Callithrix jacchus: one gene and its partner. The protein of the gene in region 2 purifies or fractionates together with the protein of the main gene of each other region. This does not show direct contact. Links are inferred from orthologs where the notes say so. Each region holds a gene or a part of one and is shown on either strand. Other genes may lie near its edges. The genes, in order: DNAAF2 and UBE3D.

Region 1 (6,606 bases), on a different chromosome or scaffold from region 2:
CCAAGATTGGCTGATCACAGAGTCAGGAGTTTGAGACCAGCCTGACCAAACATGGTGAAATCCCGTCTCTACTAAAAATACAAAAATTAGCTGGTGTACTGGCATGCGCCTGTAATCCCAGAGCTATTCAGGAGGCTGCCTCTTGAACCCAGAAGGCAGAGGTTGAGCTGAGATCACACCACTGCACTCCAGCCTGGGCAACAAAGCAAGACTCCATCTCCAGAAAAAAAAAGTTAGATGCTATTGTTCCATCAGCCTTGGCAAATATGATAATTAGTGAAGTAATTAAAAATCTATTTCAGGCTTCAAAGATATAAAATACAGTTGCCCTAATCCCATTTTCATCAAGTTTATTTGCTAAAATGTTAGCATACTTGAAAATCAGATTAAAATGTATTATTGAATATTCTATTAATTCCTTGTCAACAAAGTTTTCTTCCCACACTGTGGGTTATTTTCATAATTACTAAAACAATTACAGGAAAGCAACTGCCCTTTCCTAAATTTCCCACTTCTGATTACATAAACAGATACTCAGTTTCATATTTTATATTCTAACAAACTACATTATCTAGCCCAGTTATTTATTTTACCACTTTTGGAGGGTTTTTTTTTCTTTTTTTTTTTTTCTGAGATGGAATTTCACTCTTGTTACCCAGGCTGGAGTGCAATGGCGCGATCTCAGCTCACAACCTCCGCCTCCTGGGTTCAGGCAATTCTCCTGCCTCAGCCTCCTGAGTAGCTGGGATTACAGGCACGTGCCACCGTGCCCAGCTAATTTTTTGTATTTTTAGTAGAGACGGGGTTTCACCATGTTGACCAGGATGGTCTGGATCTCTTGACCTCATGATCCACCCGCCTTGGCCTACCTGGGTGCTGGGATTACAGGCGTGAGCCACCATGCCCAGCCCCTATGCTCTATTTTCTAAACTCGGAAAAAATGATTACCAGCTTCAAAGTTGCCCATTACAGAGTGCTTTTTAAACTTACTTGTGTTACAAACCCTTTTTGAGACTATAATTAAAATTATAGCCCTTTTCTCTGGAAGAGATCACTCTCTACTTTTTGCATACAATTCCAGAGATCTACCGCTCCCTAAAAATGCATTCATGGTCTCCTTCATATTCAATGGATCTCAGAAAAACGACTATATTCGGGGTAACTTTGAAGATTTGAATCCCATCCACCAGACTCCATGCGTGTTTCTTTTTTTTTTTTTTTTTTTCAAAATCCGTCCAACATGCACTGACATCTTTCATCATGTGCATCAATATCAAGTCATTACAAGAAGTTATAATGGAAAATGCTTTGTTTAGGATAAACTTAAAGGGTGCCTGTAATAGCTTTTTTTTCTTTTTCTTTTTCTTTTTTTTTTTTTGCGACGGAGCCTCGCTCTGTCTTCCAGGCTGGAGTGCAGTGGCTTAATCTCAGCTTACTGCAACCTCTGCCTTCCAGGGTCAAGCGGTTCTTCTGCCTCAGCCCCCCGAGTTGCTACGACTACAGGCGCGCGCCGCCACGCCCGGTTAATTTTTGTACTTTTAGTAGAGACGGGATTTCACCATATTGGCCAGGCTGGTCTAGAATTCCTGACCTCATGATCCGCCCGCCTCAGCCTCCCAAAGTGCTAGGATTACAGGCGTGAGCCACCAAGTTTGGCCAGTAATAGAAAATTTTTTAAATAAGATGGGATATTTCAAATATTAGGACTCTGGAAAGAACTGTTACCTCCAAAGAATCGTTGTTTACACCATAATACCACTCTCTCCAATGTCCATGGCTCTCTGGAGATTTTGCCAGTTCTATCACTGCATTGTTTGAAGAAACGCTAATCACAGGTTCTATGGTACTCAATTTATTCTCTGGAGCAAATTGCAAAAAGAAGGAATAAACTAAATCTTGTGTGGAGAAGCATAATTTGTACCAGACGGGACTCAGATCTCCTTGAAGACTTTGCGGCTGGATCCGAGGCACTTGAATGATCAGAGTCAGGGTTTCTTCGTCCTGATTACACAGTAACGGAGGACACAAAGGTTCCCAGCTCTCGGTTCCGGGACCACCCATGGCGCGGGCGGAGCGCTCACCTCCAGTTCCCTCAGACTCCACGCGCGTCTCCACACTGCAATCTCCGCGCGCTCTCTCTCTTCCCGCAGAAGACTCCCAGGCTTGGCCCGGAAAGGACATAGAAGAGGAGCCTCCACCACCGGGTGAGCTTTCACCTCCGGGAGATGGCTTCTCTCCGCTGCCTGGCGGCGACCCCGCGTGCCAACTCAAGTCCTGCTCCCCCAGCCCGGGGATATGCTCTTCTCCAGCGCCGGCCAGCTGGGGCGCCACCTCGGGGTCCCCCAGGGTGGTGACCCCAGAGCCCGCAGTCACAGCCACGGAGGTATCGAGGCCTCGGTCCTCGGCGCGACCTCCCGCGGGTCCTGCCGCCCCCTCGCGAGCGGAAGTGCAGGCCTGGCTGTCAGTTCCGGGCAGACCCGCGGACTCTTCCGGCGCGGCTGCGGCGGTGACTGTGGGCTCATGGCGCGCGGCCGGCAGCACCACTGGAAGCGTTACCACCAGCTGCCGCCGGGCCTTGTTAAACTGTGCCTTGCCGCGGCCGTCGTCCACGGGGTAAGGGAGCGAGAGCCGCAGCCGGTAGTCGGGTTTCCTCGAGTCGAGGCACAGCAGCTTTCCCGTCACCTCCAGCGCCGCCTGCTCGGCTGAGCGCAACAACGGCAGTTCGATCGTGACCACTAGCTCGTGGGGCACTGGGCTCGGGACTGAGTCCCGGGAGCAGCGGTAATCTTGGAAGTCCACGTGGTGGCGCTGCACCACGCTGTAGCGAGGCTCGGTGGGGGCGGGCTGCAAGGCCGCTTCCGGAGGAGAGGGCGCCCGGGGCCCGGGAGCTGCAGAGTTTCCGGCGGCTGCCGGGTACTGGTAGGGGTAGGGGAAGTCCGGGAGAGGACCCTTCGGCTCCCCTTCGGGCCTGGCCGGGATGCCCCCGGGCAGGGGCGTGCGCAGCACCGCTGCCTCCCGGGTCCCCTTATATTTGACCTTCAGGGTCTTGGCATTCCTGCGGTCTAGCTTCACGCCGAATTGCTTCTCAACTGCCTCTAGGGCCGTGGTGTCCAGCATCTGACGGAAGCCCTCGTGTCGCCGGGCCAGTGCGAGCGCGTCTGGATGGAAGACCACGTCGTAGACCATGTAGCGGGTTCTACTGCGTCCCGCGTACTCGCGGCCGGGCGCCAGGCTGTAGGGCAGGAACCAGTGGCTGCCAGGCGCTGCGCCCTGGTCGCCCCTGGAGCCGGGCCGGCTGCTGGGTGCGCCCACCAGCTCGTTGCTGCAGACGTTCACGAAGCAGCGCCGCGCTCCGTCCAGGCTGGTGCGAAGCACATGGCCCGGCTCTGGGTGCACGAACCGCACCTCCACCCCTCGCTCACGCTCCAGCATGGTGATCTCTGCCTCGTAGCGTCGCCGGTTCTCGGGGTCGGTGAGTTCCTTGGCATACTGGGAGAACATTCGCCGGAACTCCGGGTCCTGGAAGGCGGAGGTGAGCCGCTGGACCTCCTCTCCGCTCAGGTCCAAGTCCTCCAGCGACGAGGAGGCCGCCACTTTGGCCATACTGCCCTGTGGCTCCTAGTCCTTGGGCCAAGGGCGATCAGTCTGAAACTGAGTTGGGGGGATGCGCCTCACAATCTCTGGGCAGCGGAGAGTGTCGGTAACGGCTGGAAAATTGAGCCTTGAGCAGCGCGTGCTTGTTGCCATAGTGACACCACTAACATTCGGGAGGAGGGATAGAAATGGTGGAATAGCGGAAATGCCAGGAATAGCCTCTTAATTTTTTCAAACCAACCCACCACCGTACTTTCTCTGTTTTATATACCTATTCCATGGTACAGTTACTTCTGCAGAATAACTGTTGTAGTAACTGTCATAATTTCCAGCAGTATGTACATTATCCCATTCATTGTTCACACCACTTGAAGATAAACCTCGTCTCTATTTCACAAACGAGATCTGAGAAGCTGGACGAAGGTCATATAGCCAGTGTATCAACAGGCTAATTCAAACCTGTTTAGCTACTTTTCTTCACTTTGCTAAACTAACATTTCAATCTTTTTCTTTATTTTTTTTTCTGAGATGGAGTCTCGCTGTCTCCCAGGCTAGAATGCAATGGCGTGATCTCGGCTCACTGCAACCTCCGCCTTCCAGGTTCAGGCAATTGTCCTGCCTCAGCCTCCTGAGTAGCTGGGATTACAGGCGCCTGCTACCACACCCGGCTAATTTTTGTATTTTTAGTAGAAACAGGGTTCCACCATGTTGGCCAGGCTGGTTTTGAACTCCTGACCTCAGGTGATCCGCCCGCCTCAGCCTCCCAAAATGCTGGGATTACAGGTGTGAGCTACGGCGCCCGGCCAACATTTCAGTTTCGGTGTACCTCCTTTGCATTTTCTGGCAATTCCACTATAATATTTACCCAGTAAAAACTCATTTGGGGCAAGACATATGGGCAGGCCATTCATAAATAATTACCAGTGGTCCATGGACTTAAAAACTTTAACTTCATTAATAATAAAATGCAAATATACCACATGTAAACTACCAAAATATGGAAGATTCTTACAACTACTGTATTTCCTTAGGGTGGGAACAGACTTCAGTAAGATAATTCTAGAGAGCAGTTTTGCAATTATATCAACATCATTTAATTATTTACATATGTATGTATGTATTTTTGAGATAGGTTCTCCTCTTGCCCATGCTGGAGTGCAGCTTCAACCTCCTGGGCTCAAGCAGTCCTCCTGCCTCAGCCCCCCAAGTAACTGGGACTACAGGTATGTGCTACCATGCCTGGCTAATTTTTTAGTTTTTGTAGAGATGGGGGTCTTATTATGTTACCTATGCTGGTCTCCAATTGCTGGACTCAAATGATCATCCTGCCTCAGCCTTCCAGAGTGGTGAGATAACAGGATTACAGGCTTGAGCCTCCACACTAGCTCCAAAACATTTTTTTTTTCCTTGAGGCCGAGTCTTGCTCTGTTGCCCAGGCTGGAGTGCAGTGGTGCAATCTCAGCTCACTGCACTGCCTCCTGGGTTCAAGCATTTCTCCCTGCCTCATCCTCCCAAGTAACTGATATTATAGTCACCTGCCACCATGTCCGGCTAATTTTTGTATTTTCAGTAGAGTTGGGGTTTCACCATGTTGGCCAGGCTGGTCTCCCGCTCCTGACCTCAGGTGATCCACCCATATCAGTCTCCCAAAGTGCTGGGATTACAGGCATGAGCCACCATTCCTGGCTGGGTTTTTTTTTAAAACCATGGTTTATATTGGGTATTTTCTTGCTTTAGGGTATGGCTCTCCCCATTTAAAAAGGTAAATAAACATCATGAAATCTAGGACCTTGCCTTTCTGGTTTACCACTGGATACTCTGATGCCTAGAACATTATTGGGCAGGCAGATGAATTAACATAGTAAAGAAAAAAGCAAGTTTAGTATGTATAGTATGATCCTAAAATATTTTTATAGGAAAAAGCTTATGCATAGGGAAAAATCTGGAAGCATATTTACCAAAGTATTAACAATATTTCTGATAGTAGAATTGCAGGTCATTAAACTTTTTTGTGTGTTTGCTTATATTTTATAATTTTTTTTTTTTTAAGAGACAGGGTTTCACCATATTGGTCAGGCTGGTCTCCAATTCCGAACCTCAGGTGATCCACCTGCTTCAGCCTCCCAAAGTGCTGGGATTACAAGCGTGAGCCGCCGCACCCAGCCATATTTTATAATTTCCTATGAACTTGTTTAGTAAAAAGTTTTAGAACACCCTACACTTAGGTTTTAAAGCTTTGCATCTAAAATAACTTTGAGACATAAAGATGAGTTCCAAAAGGTTTAAAGCACCTGAGGGATGTGTAAAATTGCACTCTTTTCTGTTATAACCCTGAAGTCAATGAGCATAACCAGTCAACTTATTTTCATTCACCTTTGTAACGTCAAAATTCTGGACGTTTGACCTTAAAAAAGGCATTTCCAACATGAACGCACCATACTTCTCAAAAGGAAACAAACTACAACTGGTTGTTTAGAAGTGCTAATGGCCTTTAAAGTTACTGAACCCTCTGAAATTATATGTAGAGGCAGACTCATGGGGTTGGGGGACGTGGTTCTCAGTAGAGGCCCATAGGGCCCGTAGGTTTCATTAGATTCTCTCGGGGTTCCTGCCCTCTGTTTTGCCAAATTTCTTGTATGTGATGTTCTCTTTCCCAGAAGAATCTCTTTGGGAAAAGACAGTGTGGAGTTGTGGAAGAGCCCACTTGCCCAAAACAAATGTTCTCTTACCTAAAATTCATCCATTGAGGAAACCTATCCTTAAAAAATTTAATGGGCAGGGTACAGTGGCTCATGCCTGTAATCCCAGCACTTTGGGAGGCCGAGGCGGGTGGATCACCTGAGGTCAGGAGTTTGAGACCAGCCTGGCCAACATGGTGAAAACCTGTCTCTACTAAAAATATAAAAATTAGGCAGGCGTGGCGGCCGGGCACCTCTAATCCCAGCTACTCAGGAGACTGAGGCAGGAGAATTGCTTGAACCCAGGAGGTGGAGGTTGCAGTGAGCCTAGATC
Region 2 (6,610 bases):
ACAAAGAAAGCGTGACAGTGAAATGCAATGCATTATTCTGAACTGGATTCTTTCGTTATCAGGGATATTATAACAGACAACTGGCAAAGCATGAATGATGTAAGATCGTAGCAACATATTTCCCAATTCTAAGGGTTGGATGATGGTTACATAGGAGAGTCCTACTTTGAGACTAAGTCTGATGACAAGGTCCATACAATATTTTTATAGTTGAGGCTTTCTTCACCATTGACTTGTCTTCTGTGAGGTATCACACCCTGCTTTCAACTATCCAATGACTTCATCTCTCATTCTACAGACTAAAGTCCTTTCGATGGTCCATAAGTCACAGTGGTATAGTAGGCCAAGGCCACTACTAGACTCTAGTATGCTATAAGCTTTGGAGAACCTGTTGTTAAAATTCTAGCAGTTCTGCAAAGCAGGTCAACTCACCCAGTTGGTAGGTTGAAGGTCATCCATGGCAAAAGTATTCACACCAAAGAAATCAACAAATGCTGCAAATCAAGACCTTTCGTGTGTCTTTTTGTTTCCATGGAGAGTAGAATATTAAACATGTGCCAGCACACTGCCATAAGACGTTTTGCTGTGTGTTGCCCCACCTCACCCGCATCTCTCTGAACTAGGAACCCTTTCAAACATACTTTCTTAGAAATGGAAATTGTCTCACACAAGTATGTCACTTCTACATCTCACCCTTTTTAGTTTAATACTCAAATGTCTATTTCTCATTTGAAATAAAAGATTATAACTTTTTCCTCCCAGTCCCTTTTGGAATTCTCTACTTCTATTATATTTTATTTATTTTGTATATTCTCTGCTGCCTCTTCCACACTGCCACCATTAGACTGTAAGCTCAGCAAAGGCAAGTATTCTTGTCTTTGCTGCTATTACTGTTCATGGCTGTATCCTCAGCACTAAGAATTTGAATTTTCCGTACTAGAGTAAGAACACAATAAACATCTGTGGATTGAATAAATGAATGGCCAAAGTTTATCCCAAGAATGCTAAGACTGTTTAACATAAATAGATCTTTACATCTGTGAATGGAAAAATGAGGAAGCCAGACTCTTTTTAACAACCCACTATTGCAGGAACTAATCCATTCCTGAAAGAGAACTCACCTACCCATCTCCCATGGGAGGGCATTAATCTATTCAAGAAGGATCTGCCCCCAGGAACCAGGCACCTCCCACTAGTCTAGTCCCTATGTCTCAACAGTGCCACACTGGGGATCAACATGACAAAACATAGGGACAAAACACACCCAAACCATAGCAATTAGGAACGAGAACACCAATATTTACATTAACTATAAAATAAACTAAATATTTTAATTAAAACACACAGATCAGGCCAGGCGCGGTAGCTCAAGCCTGTAATCCCAGCACTTTGGGAGGCTGAGGCAGGTGGATCACGAGGTCAAGATATCGAGACCATCCTGGTCAACATGGTGAAACCCCGTCTCTACTAAAGATACAAAAAATTAGCTGGGCATGGTGGCGCGTGCCTGTAATCCCAGCTACTCAGGAGGCTGAGGCAGGAGAATTGCTTGAACCCAGGAGGCGGAGGTTGCGGTGAGCCGAGATCGCGCCATTGCACTCCAGCCTGGGTAACAAGAGCGAAACTCCGTCTCAAAAAAAAAAAAAAACACACAAAACAAAACGCACAGATCAGAATGTTTTTAAAATCACCAAAGTATATATTCTTTAAAATAGCATTCAGTTTTATGCTATTTTTACAGAAACACAGTATTTTTACAGTTTTATGCTTTACACTGAAAGACATAAGACAAGTTAAGAGGGTAGAAAAGACATACTATGCAAACAGTATAGTCAATTGATTTCTCATGAAGATACTGAATTATTTTAATGGGAGAAATTATGGCCTTTTCAACTCATGGTGACAGAATAACTGAATATCCTCATACAAAAAAAAAAAGAACTTTGATCCCTACCTCACTGCAAACACAAAAATGAACTCAACATGATCATAGATCAAAATGTAAAAGCTAAAACTATATAACTCCCAGAAAATAAACCTAGCAAAAAATCTTCACAACCTTGAGGTAGGCAAAGATTTAAGACACCAAAAAAAAAAAAAAAAAAAAACCCTTAAAGAAAAAGAAAGCAATAGAGTGGACTTTATTAAAATAACAATTTCTGTTCATCAAAGGACACTATTAAGAAAATGAGGCTGGGCATGGTGGTTCACACCTGTAATCCCAGCACTTTGGGAGTCCAAAGCAGGCAGATTGCTTGAGTCCAGGCACTTAACATTATTAGTCATCAGTGAAGTGAAAATTAAAACTACAAGATACTACTTTACACCCATTAGAATGGTTCAAACTAATAGGACTAACAATACTAAACCCAAGTGAGAATGTAAGCAGCTGAAACTCTTTTTTTTCCTGGTTGAGTGTGTAAAGTGGTACAATCACTTTGGAGAACTGTTTGGTAATTTCTCACAAAATAACACGCACATTTGTCCCATGACCCAGAAATTTCAGGTAAGTACCCTTAGGTACCTACCTAAAAAGAAATGAAAATGTATGTCCAAAAAAAGATTTATACAATATTGTTATGACAACTGTAGTCATAATAAGCAAACTCTGGAATCAAGAAAAACATCCAACAATAGGAGAACAGATAAATGAATTGTAGTATATTCATACAATGGAAAACTCAGCAAGAAAAAGGAACGAACTACTGATACATGCAGCCACATAGATGGAATATGAATCTTTAAAATATTATGGAAGGAATGCAGCCAGAAACTATATATATGCTGCATGAATCCATTTATAAGCAGTTCAAGAAATGTCAAAACTAAGTCGAGCAAAGTTAGGTTTCCTAACTTGCTTAAACAAGGGAGAGTAGTCCAAGGGAACTGTGAAAGGACCCTGGATGAGAGGAAGGGAGGGTTTGTTGGTGTGTGTGGTTTGTTTTTTGTTTTGATTTGGTACGGCTTGGGCTCCTAATTACAAGGTGCACCAGAATTGGAGATATTTGTCCAAATTCATGATTTTTGAAAAGAGAAAAAGAAATACATTTAGAGTACTAAGTATTATTTCCATTTCAAGATTGAAGAAATTCAGATTAAATTATTCTAACTTTGTGAGGAAGCAAGCATTTGAACTCAGTTCTCACGCCATATCCCAAACTGCCACACCAGATATCTGGCAGATTGAGAGAAAAGAGGAAAAAACTAAGCATCAACCTGTGACACTGTGTAATAACATTCTCAGGATTTTAACATCTAACTTAATCTCTCTCTGAGAAAGCGATCACAAAGGAATAGACAAGGGCGCCACAAATCATTAAAACTGCTTTCAAACAAAAAGAGAACATTTTCCCTAAAAGTTTCTTGTTTGTGCAGCAAATAACAAGCTCAACGTTCTCACTGGAACTCAGAATATGAATAAAAAAACGAGCTCCAATGAGAAGTCTGTAACCTTTCTTGGGGGTGCACTAAACTCACGTTTATTGAATGATTGTGTGGTTTCTCTGCAAAGAGCAGTTTGAAGAGAAAAGACCCGAAGTTATTTACAAAACAAGAAGCGCACACATAGGAACTGATCCAGTAAGGAGGATCCCGAAGAGAGGTAGACGAGGCATTTTTTGCATTGTTTTGTAGGAAACGCCAGGCACTGCCAACGGTGTTTTACATCACCATTCCTCAAATCTTAACGTGCATTTGATTCCTGGGAATCTTGTTTAAATAAAAGTTCTGATTCCATAACTCTGGTGTGGGGCTGAGACCCTGAGATTCTAAAAAGCACCCCAAAGATACCCAGACTGTCAGTAGGGGTGGAGGTAGCGGAGGCGACTACAGGGGAAAGCTTCACTTTGAGTGGTCGAGAGGTACTCAACTGGAAACAAGAAACTCAAAGTCCCTCGTTCCGAGAGAGCAGAGAGAGACTCACCAACCCCCAGCCCCCGGGAGCAGAAAAGCGTGCTGGGCACCGCGCCGCCTAGGATCCAGTTCTTACCCCAGGATCAGCAGCGCGCTCTGCAGCTGTCTCCGGACCTCCAGAAACACGCGTGTCTTCGCCGCAGTTGTCGCCATGGCGAGCGTCCAATCCCGGACTGGACCAAGCTGGAGGGTCCAAAGGGCCCGGGTCAACGTGACCAGGTGCGGTTCCACGTGCGGACCAACCAGCAGCAGCGTCGCTGCGGCGCAGGCGCCTGTACCAGACGCGCGGCTAGCACCGCCTACCAGCTCACAGCGCCACTTGCCGGCCGGAGAGCGCGCTACAGTGAACGCGCGGGACCCCGGAGGGCGGGGCGGGGCGGGGCGGGGCGCGCGTTTTCAAAACCAGGCTTTGGCCCAGTGCTGAGAAAGGTGGGCGACGAGAGGCAAGCTATCCTCCCACTTTGCTTCTCATGAGCGTGACTTGACGCGTTAGCCTCCCTGGAAATTACCATAAAAATCAGACCTAGGGTACACTCTGGCTAGCTTGAAGGGAAGGAGATGATGGAGGCAGGTGTTACAGGTGCTTTGTCCCCAGGAGATCCAAGAGCAGAATTCCCCGCCCCAAACCCACTTTATCCTGGTCTCTTTTATGAACAAGGATAGTTTGTTAGCCTCTGTCTAAAGCAACAAAAATTTCAAGAATTGACTTGCCATTGCTTCTCAACTTAGGATAGCTCCAAAATTGAAACAGGTGCAAAAACGTAAGGAAGTTTTTTGTTACCTGATGCAGAAGAGTGTGGCTGAAGTCTATCTTGAATACAGGATTAACCATTTTTTAGGGGGTAAAAAAGGACGTTGAGAATGATTACGTATGTACAGCTCCACTATTCACTTTCACAGAAGTAAAAACTAAGAGAATTCGTCATTCCGTTACGACTAGAAGACAGTTTTGAAAAGTTTGGCACAGTAAAGAACCTGATATAATGTAAGTACTTATAATGAAGAACCACTAAAATGTAAGACCAGGGTAGAATTTACAATAGGATTTCTTAAAAACAAAAAACTGCTATTTTTTGAAACAAAAATAGTGATGGCTTGTATACATAAAACCTTGTTTATTGATGTTCTATTATTTCAAAGTAATAATTACTGCACACCAAACACATTAATTTGAAGTATTTCTAAACAAAATAATTAGACCATATATATATATATATATAGATATAGACACGGAGTGCAGTGGCACAATCTCAACTCATTGCAACCTCCGCCTCCCAGGTTCAAGCAGTTCTCCTGCCGCAGCCTCCAGAGTAGCTGGGAGTACAGGCGCGCACCACTATGCCCGACTAATTTTTATGTTTTTGGTAGAGACGCGGTTTCACCACGTTGGCCAGACTGGTCTAGAACTCCTGACCACAAGTGATCCGCCCACCCTGGCCTCCCAAAGTGCTGGGATAACAGGCGTGAGCCATAGTGCCGGCCTAGACCATAAATAAATTCTTTTTTATTTTTATTTATTTATTTTTTCGAGATGGAGTCTCACTCTGTTGCCCAGGCTGGAGTACAGCAGCGCGATCTCGGCTCACTGCAGCCTCCCACTCCTGGGTTCCAGCGATTCTCCTGCCTCAACCTCCCCTGTAGCAGGGATTACAGGCGGTAGCCACACCCAGCTAATTTTTGTATTTTTAATAGAGACAGGATTTCACCATGTTGGCCAGGCTGGTCTCGAACTCCTGATCTCATGTGATCCGCCCGCCTAGGCCTCCCAAACTGCTAGGATTACAGGCATGAGCCACCTAGCCCAGACAATAAATTGTAAATAAATAAATCCTGTCATATATTTTAAGATAACAGCTTGAAACAATTTTTCTAAAATTAGTATTTGGGGTTATTAAAGTTCATCATGTTGACGCACAAATTATTATATCTATCACAATAATTTGAAATCATACATGGAAGCAACAACTCAGTTAAAAAAATTAAGTTTACTACTATTTGGTCTCAATTCATCTATTTGAAGTATGATGATTTCAGCTATGCATATCCTCCATCTTTAATCCTCGAAGCTATTGAATGTTTAAATATTGACACATTATATTGAAATACACATATTCCTTAGCACAGCTTACTCTTCATAATTGTTTTGTCAGCTTAAAAGATTGCTATATATTTAATTACGTATTTGTAAAAACTTCAATCATTTTTTGGACCCTACAGTGTTGACAAAACGGTGCAATCCACCTTGGAATAACTAGACATGATTGACAGAAAAGAGCTCTAGACTCAAAATAGTTCCAAATCTGATACCAAATATTTGTCTCCTAACTTCACAAGTCTCCTAACCTCTCTGGGCCGCAGGTTACTCACATGAAATATTGAGAAACTATTAAAATAATATTTACATAGTTATTTCAATAATTTAAAAGCTGTTTTCGGTTCCTATTATCCCTTCAAACTCTCCATCAAGATGAGACTGGCGCTGGCAAGTTGAAAACACCTGTTAAATCCCTTTCTAGCCACTCCTGAAATTGGTAGCCATGGCCGCTTCCCGCGACAGTCCACTTGAGGGCGCTGTGGTAACAGCTATCGCCGGGAGGCAAGAAGCCGACCGGGGGCGGGGATCGAAGGCCGCAGACGTCGACGCCGGCGTGGGCGCGAGCGCGGTGCACGCTGGGAGCTGTCACTAGGCCCTTCGGCT

Evidence for each region.
Region 1: the proteins of UBE3D (region 2) and DNAAF2 purify together in Homo sapiens (affinity purification with mass spectrometry; 4 studies listed by BioGRID and IntAct, counting the BioPlex papers as one, with this or other methods). This does not show direct contact. The link is inferred for Callithrix jacchus from reciprocal best matches to the Homo sapiens genes UBE3D and DNAAF2.

The regions. Positions count from the first base shown.
Region 1 is NC_133509.1:84,130,785-84,137,390, forward strand, and holds the start of DNAAF2 (protein kintoun), read right to left. Parts: upstream 3,754-6,606; 5' UTR 3,604-3,753; coding exon 1,726-3,603; intron 1-1,725. UniProt on the Homo sapiens protein: Required for cytoplasmic pre-assembly of axonemal dyneins, thereby playing a central role in motility in cilia and flagella.
Region 2 is NC_133505.1:88,582,280-88,588,889, forward strand, and holds the start of UBE3D (E3 ubiquitin-protein ligase E3D), read right to left. Parts: upstream 4,179-6,610; 5' UTR 4,066-4,178; coding exon 3,989-4,065; intron 1-3,988. UniProt on the Homo sapiens protein: E3 ubiquitin-protein ligase which accepts ubiquitin from specific E2 ubiquitin-conjugating enzymes, and transfers it to substrates, generally promoting their degradation by the proteasome.